2 linked regions of the Mus musculus genome follow. The protein of the gene in region 2 binds, or shares a complex with, the protein of the main gene of each other region. Links are inferred from orthologs where the notes say so. Each region holds a gene or a part of one and is shown on either strand. Other genes may lie near its edges.

Region 1 (4,360 bases), on a different chromosome or scaffold from region 2:
GTTAGACAGAAAAGCAAGAGGATCTATACATAGAATGGAAAGCTATAAAACTCCTCCAAATACACACAGAGACCTAGGTCATCCTGGGCTGGGCATGACCTCCAAGCAAGATATACTAACAAAAACACAGCCCTCAAAAGAGGACTGGGGACTGGAGAGATGGCTTAGCAGTCAAGAGCACTGGCTGCTCTTTTAGAGGTCCTAAGTTCAAGTCCCAGCAACCACATGGCATCTTACAAGCACCTGAAATGGGATCTGATGCCCTCTTCTGGTGTGCAGCAGGCATACATGCAATCCGAACACTTATATACAAAACTAAATAATCTTAAAAAAAAAAAAAAAAAAAGCCGGGCGTGGTGGCACACACCTTTAATCCCAGCACTCAGGAGGCAGAGGCAGGCGGATTTCTGAGTTCGAAGCCAGCCTGGTCTACAAAGTGAGTTCCAGGACAGCCAGGGCTACACAGAGAAACCCTGTCTCGAAAAAACAAAACAAAAAGATTTGAAGATAACTTTAAAAGAATGAAAGGAAAACAGTCAAGGAAAGTGTGTTTGAAACACTTATTTGGTGAAGATTTGGGTCCACAATATATAAAGAACTCTTAGACGTTAACAAGAAGAAAAAGACATGGAAAATCCTAGCACTTGGGAGGCTGAGACCAAGAGGATGACAAGTTTGAGGTCACGTGGTCTACATTGGGAGAGTCTGTCTAACTATAACAACAACAAAAAAAGAAAAAGAAAAAGAAAAAGCAGCCTGGTACAGCAGCACACTCCTTTTGTCCCAGCACTCAAGAGATCTCTCTGAGTTCAAAGTCAGCCTGAGACCCTGTCTCACAAACAAGAACAATTAGCTGGGTGTGGCAACACACTTAAGTCAAATCAGCACTTGGAATGGGCTAAGAGGATCAGGAATCCAAGACCATCCTCAGCTACACGATGAGCTCATGGCTAGCTTGAGCTACGTGAGAGCTAGCCTGGGCTACATGAGACCTTATCTTAAAGAAGATCCACTGGGATAGGCGAGAGGGGTTGTACTGATGCTGGGTGGGCTTTGAGCATGGCTGTGGAGATCTAGAGGAGGGACAGGAGATGGGCTCACCCTTCCACTCCAGGTTCCGTCGGCCCCTCTCCAGGTGGCCTAGCAGTCGCTCCGGACAAGAGTTTAGCAGGAACTCGCTCTCCTTCCTGGCCGCATCAGGCTGCTTCATCCACAGATTAGCAACGATTTCCGTCTCAGGCCACTCCCCAGTCCAATTGCCGATTCTTGGGTTGAATTTCATAAACTCCTCACCATTGAGGGCAAACACAGCCGTGGGCACTGAGGAATTATCCGAGGCCAGTTCACAGCCCAGCAGGCCCTGCAGTGTGTAGGTCCCTAGATGCCAACACGCAGGCAAGCAGACTCAGGAGCAAGGGCCAGCCTTCCTCTCTTCTCCTCCCTCGGACCTTGAGGTCCAGATCCCAACCTTCCCCCTTATTCCTAGGGTTCAGACCTAATCCTCCCACTTCAGGCCTAGGGCTCCAGCCTCCTTCCTTGACCCAGGAATCCAGACCCATTATCCTTCCTCAAACCCAGCCTACTGAAGCTCACCCCTCTTCTGACCATTTAATATCTTCTCCAGGGTCTTGAGGGCCTCCAAGAAGAGCTGTTCTTTGCTTTTGAGGTCTGTGGTCTCCTTCTCCCAATACCAAGACACCTGATTTTCCCACATCCAGGCCCCACAGGGGTCAGCTTCCTGCCGCAGGCTGTTGTAGGTCAGATACTGCTGAGGACCCAACCAGCCTGTAGCCCAGAAAGAGGGAAGCCCCGTAGATGGGTTTGACACAGCCGTGAGATGATACATCAGTGGGGGGCGGGTCTCTGCAGAGCAAACAGGAGAGTCTCGGGTCACGGACTGCACCGTGCCCCACAGAGGTGCAGAATGAAAACTGGACCCGATCTGAAGTGCCATGATCCTCCAGAGAGAAGGGGACAGACACCCAGAAAGGAAGCAAGACGGACAGACGGACACAGAGACGAGCCTGAGATTGTCAAGTGTATTTGACTCAGATGCACAGAGAAGTTACCCACAGTGAGATTTCCATGAAGGCTAGGACATCATGGAAAAAGTGGACTTATTGTCCCTCTTCCACTCTTTGGCTCTTCTTCCTGTCCCCTTCCTGACACACTCCAGGTCCTGGTGGCCTCTTACCTGAGCCCCAGGTCTGAGGCAGGAGGACCAACAAGAGGCTGAGGGCCCAGGGCAGTGGCATCCCCATTCCGACAGGGTGACCCGGAGTGGAAGGGACACGTGACTCCTCTGGACCCCGCCTTGTTGATTCTTCACAAGGTCCCTGTGGACTCTTCGTAGACCAGGACGCTGGATGGTGGGATGGAGACCCAGTCCAAGACGACAGACAGGAGTGTTCCTCTGTGAACTTTCACCTTCTCATTTGATCCACTTTAGTTAATTAATTACAGAGCTAGACAGACCAAAATTTGTCTCAGACTTCTGTTATTTCCTTTTTCTCCTCCCTCAGACCAGAGGATCCAGGCCTTCTCCTCCTCCCTCATTCCCAGGGGCTCAGATTTCAGCCTCAGGAGCCCTCAAACCCAAGCCAGGAGTCCAGTTCCACCTCCCTCAGATCCAGGAGTCCAGTTCCAAGATCTTTCCTCAAACCCAAAACCCTAGGCTCCGGCTTCATCCCTCAGACTCAGGTGCCCGGGGTCCTGCTCTCCTTCCTCAGACCCCAGCCTCCTCTCTCCCCCTCAGGTCATAACACTCCTCCCTCAGACCTGGAGCTCCAGGCCCCAACCCTCTTTCCTCTTGGGGTGCTGGTCCCTCATACCTAGAGAACCAGGCCTGGGCCTCCTCCTCTGACGCTCAGCCTGTTCCTCACAGAGGCCCTCTTCCCTCTGCCTGCAGCCGATGGATCCTCTGCTTAGAGCCTCCAGTTCTTCTCTTACATCCTGTCTGTACACAGTTAGGACTGGAGAACTCTGAGGGCATCCAACTCCACCCACTAGCTCCTAAGCACACCCCTTGGGCCTCTGTCCAGCCTCTCTTGAAGTTCCTGCTGTATCTGGTTGGAAGCCTCCCGGGGCAAACGTCATTAGGCCTGCCTCCCAAAACAGCTTCTATGTTTACTCGTTTGGAGCATTTTTGGAGTAGACTCGCAGCCCTGGAAAGGCCTGCACGCTGAATGTGACTTTAAGACACCCCAGGATTTGTGGGCTGTGGGTGTGGCTTGGTCATGGCATGGTTGCCTAACACACAAGGTTTGGCAGCAGCCCACTCCCAGCTGTAAGCCTGCTCTGATTTCTTCCATGTGCCAGCACTTGAGGTGGCCCCAACCCTGCCTACACACTCTGTGATGAGAGCCTTTGCCTTTGGCCCCTGTCTCCCACCCTGCTGCCCACCCCAAGATCTTGCCAGAAAAAACACACAGACACACAGAGAGACACTGACAGACAGGTAGGTTGACAGGGTAGATAGACAGCAAAGAAGAAAGGGGGTGGGCGGCAGCACATGCCTGTAATTCCAGCACTAAGGATGGAGGCCGGGAGGCCAGGGGTTCATGGCCGGCCTGGGCGGCAGGGAATATAAACAGCCGAGAGAGGGAGACTGACAGAGCCGTGAGTGGTCGACTGGTGGTCAGCAGATGGACCAACAGGCTGAAGTAGATGGGCAAAACCGGTGTGATGGGGCAGGCCTGGAACCCACACACTTGAAAGACAGAAGCAAGAGTCTGGAAAGTCTGGAGCTGACGAGACAGCTCAGCAGTTAAGAGCACCTGCTGCTCTTGCAGAGGATCCGAGTTTGGTTCCCGGCACCCACATGGTGGCTCACAGCTGCCCATAACTCCAGTTCTAGGGGGTCTGACAATTTCTCATTGAACACCAGGCAGGGATGTGGGGCACGTGTATACACACAGGCATGAATAAAATAAATAAATCTAAAAAACCTTTTTAAGGGCTGGTGAGATGGCTCAGTGGGTAAGAGCACCCGACTGCTCTTCTGAAGGTCTGGAGTTCAAATCCCAGCAACCACATGGTGGCTCACAACCATCCGTAACGAGATCTGATTCCCTCTTCTGGAGTGTCTGAAGACAGCTACAGTGTACTTACATATAACCAATAAATAAATTAAAAAAAAAACCTTTTTAAGAGAGAATAGAAAGTCAACCACTCCTACCTGCCTTGACCTCCCTCTCCCTCTGGTCTATATCAAGTGTGTGTACAAGTGTGTGCGTGTGTAATAATGGTGGTGGTGGTGGTAGCGTGGAGGCAGCAGAGGGGTAGGGTAGATGTGTCAGGACAGGAACTCATGCAGCCCAGGTCGACCATGAACTCCTGAAGCCCAGCCTCCAGCTCTTAA
Region 2 (4,315 bases):
ATGATATGTATATTGATAACACCTTGAGCTATATATTATTTTTTTGGTTCTACATACCACTTAAAATAAATTTAAGTATAAAAAAATTGTTAATGAAGTAAGTTACGTTTTTAAACTGCGAGGCAAACGAAGATCATGTAGAAACCCCCTACCACTTACTTTCCTTGGACTTGTCAATTTCTGTGTAATTTTCATGATAGTCAAGTGCCACAATATTGTGTATGATGGATAACACAGAGAAGCAAAGAGCTAATGGCCTTGAGGAATGTCACCTTCCATGTTTTCTATCTGACACTAAAAGCTAGGAGTAAAGTCATTATAATAAAAACAAATCAAGGGAATTTGAGGAGCAGGTAAAATCAAGCTGGGGAACCTTGCACAGCTCCTCATGGGCTCTGCTCCTTTGGGAGAAGCCTATGTTTTTACTACGTTCCCTGTAAAACTAAAGAATAATACCTCCCTCCCTCCAACCCCTCCCTCCAAACCCTCTCATGTAAGCCCCCTTGCTCTCTTTCAGATCCATGACCTCAGTTTTCATTCATTGTTGTTACATGCATATACATTTATGTAAATACATGTATATTCCTAAATGTAGCCTGCTTAGTCTGCATGTTATTCATACGTATGTTTTAGGGATGACCATTGGTATTGGAGAGGCAGTTGGTATGCTCTTCCAAGGCAACTTCTTCTCTCTGCATTCCTTAGTTGCCTACAGTTCTTTTTACAGGGTTTAGCTCTTGTGGTCTTTCCCTCATCCACTTTGGCATATCTACTGTCACTGTCACTGTCAAGCTCCCATTTGGGCAGTCATGTGGTGAGACTTTTTGAGTGTATTGTAGCTTCTGCAATTACTATGAAATGGAGTCCCACAGAAAATTCCCATCACCCTGGCTTTATCAATCTCTCTGCTGCCCTCTGCCACAGTGTTCCCGGGGCCTTAAGTGATGGAGTCATGATTGGCTTTGAAACAGAGTTCCAGAAAGCAGGAAAGTAGATCCACAAAATCAGAAGGTACTCACAAGGGATTTGTCACAGTTGGCGGCAGACTCATCGGCAACACACGTCTTTGCAAAGTCTGTTACTTCCTGCACTAATTTGGCATGCTCATCGTATGAGCATTTCTGGAGATACTGGGAAAAGGCAATCAGGACTCTGAAAAGCAGACACAAAAACCTCAGTATGAGGCAAGTGGCTCTCCCAACCAGCAAATCATGCCTGTGTATACCTGCGAGATTTTGTATATCTTTCATACAACTATCTAGAAAGCCTCTTCCCGTCAGCTATTCTCTGAGGCGTAATGGGAACACCTGCCTTTCCAAGCAAAGGAATATGGACTTCTACCATGCTGAAGTGCAGATGCACATATGTGTCAATAGATTTATGAACATGAGGCAAACAGGCAAACTACTCTCTAAATTTATTCATTGTCAAGGCTAGATATTATATAAGTCCTTTGAATTGTTTCTTTTCTAACCATATACCTCTGTTATTTGGAATACATGATACTATTGACCTTCTAAAAATAAATTAATTACTCATTTTTTTACTACATTAAAACATTACTAAGGTTGGAGATGTGACTTAAGTATAGACCCCTTACTTCACATGTATAAGGTTTCAGTACTACAAAGAGACAAAATAATGTTCTCAAGATACCATGAGATCTTATTGCATTAAAAGTTAGTAAGTGAGCTGCCCCCAAAACTATAGTTCATAGACCTTTCCAGAAATAAAAAATAAGATTCCAGACTTAACAAGTTAGATGTGGGCTCCAGATTCTCTCTCCAGGAAAGGAGCTACTAGCCACACATGGCTAGATACATTCAATTAAAATTAACTATTATTTGAATGTGTGCTTCTCAGTTACACTTGCCATGTGCAAAGTGCTTGATAGCCTTGTGATCTCTGGCTGCCACATTGCTCAGCACAGATCCACAGTCTTTCTGTCAATGCACACATTTCTACTGGACAGCACTGCTCTACAATTCTCACACTCAAGGTGGAAAAAGGTGTTTTAAAACTTTAACTAATACTACCAGAAATATTAAGTGGGCTTTCAGCATTATAACTTACAGGCCTTTGAAATGTTGTTCTCCCAAATCATTATACCGATGGGCGATCTCACTCTTGTCTGTGGAAACAGGGAGAGAAAAACCACACAACATATTTAAAGATTGATGAAGACAACTAACTGTAATATGCTGCTTTTTGTTCTTCTCTTCACTGACCTAAGCTACTCCCTGAAGATGCCAGTTCCCGATCGTTACAGGAAAATCTGAAGGTGGCAATGGTTCCTCTCTGCTACACTCAAAGTTATATTTTTTCACCAACATTATTATTTTTAAAACCCGTTAAGTGTTTATATCTGTGCATTCAAACTCAAGATTTAGTGTTTCTGTCATGTTTGTAAATATCTACTAAGACAATGGTAAATAAGAAATAAAGGTAAATATAAATGGAAACTCCATTTATAAAATTAGTAACACACACTTTTAATTTTTAGTATAGCATGGTCGAGCAGGCAGGCCCTATGAGACCGTAATAAATTCAACTGTATCCAACGTAATTTGAGTCATTCTGCCTAGCATTTTTTTTTAATTAAAAGAAATTTAAAGCTAAGCTTTCAAAATCCCCCATTATTGTCATCAAAGATACCAAAAATATATCAATAATATAACCACCTAAGGGTTCTCAGATGCAAATAATGACAATAATAACAACAACAACAGTAATAATAATCTAGAAATCAGCACTAAAGGAAAATTTAACTATTTTAAAATACCAGGCTTCCATTACTAGAAAAATACAAGCAGAGATGAAAAAACATAAAACTCTTACGTGCTTCTCGGCGAAACACACCCCTGGAAAAAGCAGAGCCGGAGACGAAGAGGAGGAGGAGAAAGGTTACCCACTTCATTTTGCCAGAGGCTAGTGGGGTTGATAGGAAAGGTGATCTGTGTGCAGAAAGACTCGCTCTAATATACTTCTTTAACCAATAACTGTAGATCATTAACCATACTTACCTCGCATTTCATTGGTTCCTACCCCATTACAAAATCATACCATCTTTGCCAAAAAGTTGTTTGACTAAATCCCTTGCGTATGTTTGCCATCTGGAGCTGTTCCCCTCTAACCCCACCCCCACCCCCATGCACAAGACTTTGTCCATTCATTAAAGTTATGTAAAACAGCAAATTTTACATAAGAGCTTAATCTCTTTGTCTCCCATTTGAGCATTTCAGTGTGGGCCTTGGCATGGAAGCATGCCACATTTAAAAGCTAAGAACTGAATTGCATAGGTTGTTCATCCCAAATATGCTTTTATGTACAGGTAATGAAGAATGTGTATGAGGGAGGGGTGGGTCTCATTATAGGGCTTCCAAGTCTTTCTCATCTTTTTAAAGTTAGAATCTTCCATAAAGCACACAGTGTCTCAAATGTGAACTGAGAAGAAGCCAGAGCAATAAAAAACAAGTGCAGAGGACTTTCAGAAGTCTTGTGTCCCCACCCCATGCTCAGGCTATGTGTGAAACGGGTCTGGAGTAGAATGTTTTCATCTAACATGAACCTCTTTCTCGGGGTGCTTTAGAGGAGACACTAGAACAGGCACTCCAATGACAGTGATGATGGTCTTTGCCATCGTAACATACTTCCTCTAACACCACAGGATAATAATTAGTAGCAGACCAGTTATCTCACTTATGAGTCAGTCAAGACTACATCCAAATCAACCCCATGGTTCCTAAATATACAGGGACTATTCAGTGACAAGAAGGAGAAGAGGAAGGAGGAGAAGAAGGAAAAGGAGGAAGAGAGGAGGAGGAGGAAGAGGAGGAGGAGGAGAAGCATTCTTCTTTATATCTGGTTATACAATGAAAGAAATCTATGTCTTATGACCTCATCTTGTGTCCTCATCTTCAGAAAGGTGTACAAATTCTGTAATCAACCACAGGAGTCAAGGCAAAATGAAGGAGAAGGGAAAAGTGTTTCCTTGCTTGTTTTATCACTCAAAAGAGTCCTGAAATGGAATAACAGACTAGCCTCTACACAGATGAACAGAATGATAGATAGATAGATAGATGATAGATAGATAGATAGATAGATAGATAGATAGATAGATAGATAGATAGATGATAGATGGATAGGGAGGTAGGTAGGTAGATAGATAGATAGATAGATAGATAGATAGATAGATAGATAGATAGATAGATAGATAGATAAAGTCTGCCCATGGAATAACTTCTACTGAGGGTGAGGGTGGGTGGCAGAATTAAGCCAAAACCCCATCCTGGAAAAGAAAAAAAGAAACTAAACA

Evidence for each region.
Region 1: the proteins of Alb (region 2) and Fcgrt are in contact, whole or in part, in a crystal structure (PDB 6QIO), measured with the Homo sapiens proteins. The link is inferred for Mus musculus from reciprocal best matches to the Homo sapiens genes ALB and FCGRT. Residues at the interface, in NP_000468.1 of Homo sapiens: Arg105, Glu106, Thr107, Tyr108, Gly109, Glu110, Asp113, Asn133, Asn135, Gln441, Ser443, Pro445, Thr446, Glu449, Leu484, Leu487, His488, Thr491, Pro492, Val493, Tyr521, Val522, Pro523, Lys524, Thr530, Phe531, Thr532, Phe533, His534, Asp536; in NP_001129491.1 of Homo sapiens: Arg65, Glu67, Glu69, Gly72, Ala73, Val75, Trp76, Gln79, Val80, Ser81, Trp82, Trp84, Glu85, Lys86, Thr89, Arg92, Asn172, Lys173, Leu175, Thr176, Leu179, Phe180, His184, Glu188, Arg192, Gly195, Asn196, Trp199, Lys200, Glu201.

Annotation. Positions count from the first base shown.
Region 1 is NC_000073.6:45,100,809-45,105,168, forward strand, and holds the start of Fcgrt (IgG receptor FcRn large subunit p51 isoform 1 precursor), read right to left. Parts: upstream 3,015-4,360; 5' UTR 2,832-3,014; intron 2,466-2,831; 5' UTR 2,262-2,465; coding exon 2,195-2,261; intron 1,864-2,194; coding exon 1,606-1,863; coding exon of another isoform or gene 1,594-1,605; intron 1,378-1,593; coding exon 1,102-1,377; intron 1-1,101. UniProt on the Homo sapiens protein: Cell surface receptor that transfers passive humoral immunity from the mother to the newborn. Binds to the Fc region of monomeric immunoglobulin gamma and mediates its selective uptake from milk.
Region 2 is NC_000071.6:90,459,537-90,463,851, reverse strand, and holds the start of Alb (albumin preproprotein), read right to left. Parts: upstream 2,983-4,315; 5' UTR 2,918-2,982; coding exon 2,839-2,917; intron 2,132-2,838; coding exon 2,074-2,131; intron 1,153-2,073; coding exon 1,020-1,152; intron 1-1,019. UniProt on the Homo sapiens protein: Binds water, Ca(2+), Na(+), K(+), fatty acids, hormones, bilirubin and drugs. Its main function is the regulation of the colloidal osmotic pressure of blood. Major zinc transporter in plasma, typically binds about 80% of all plasma zinc.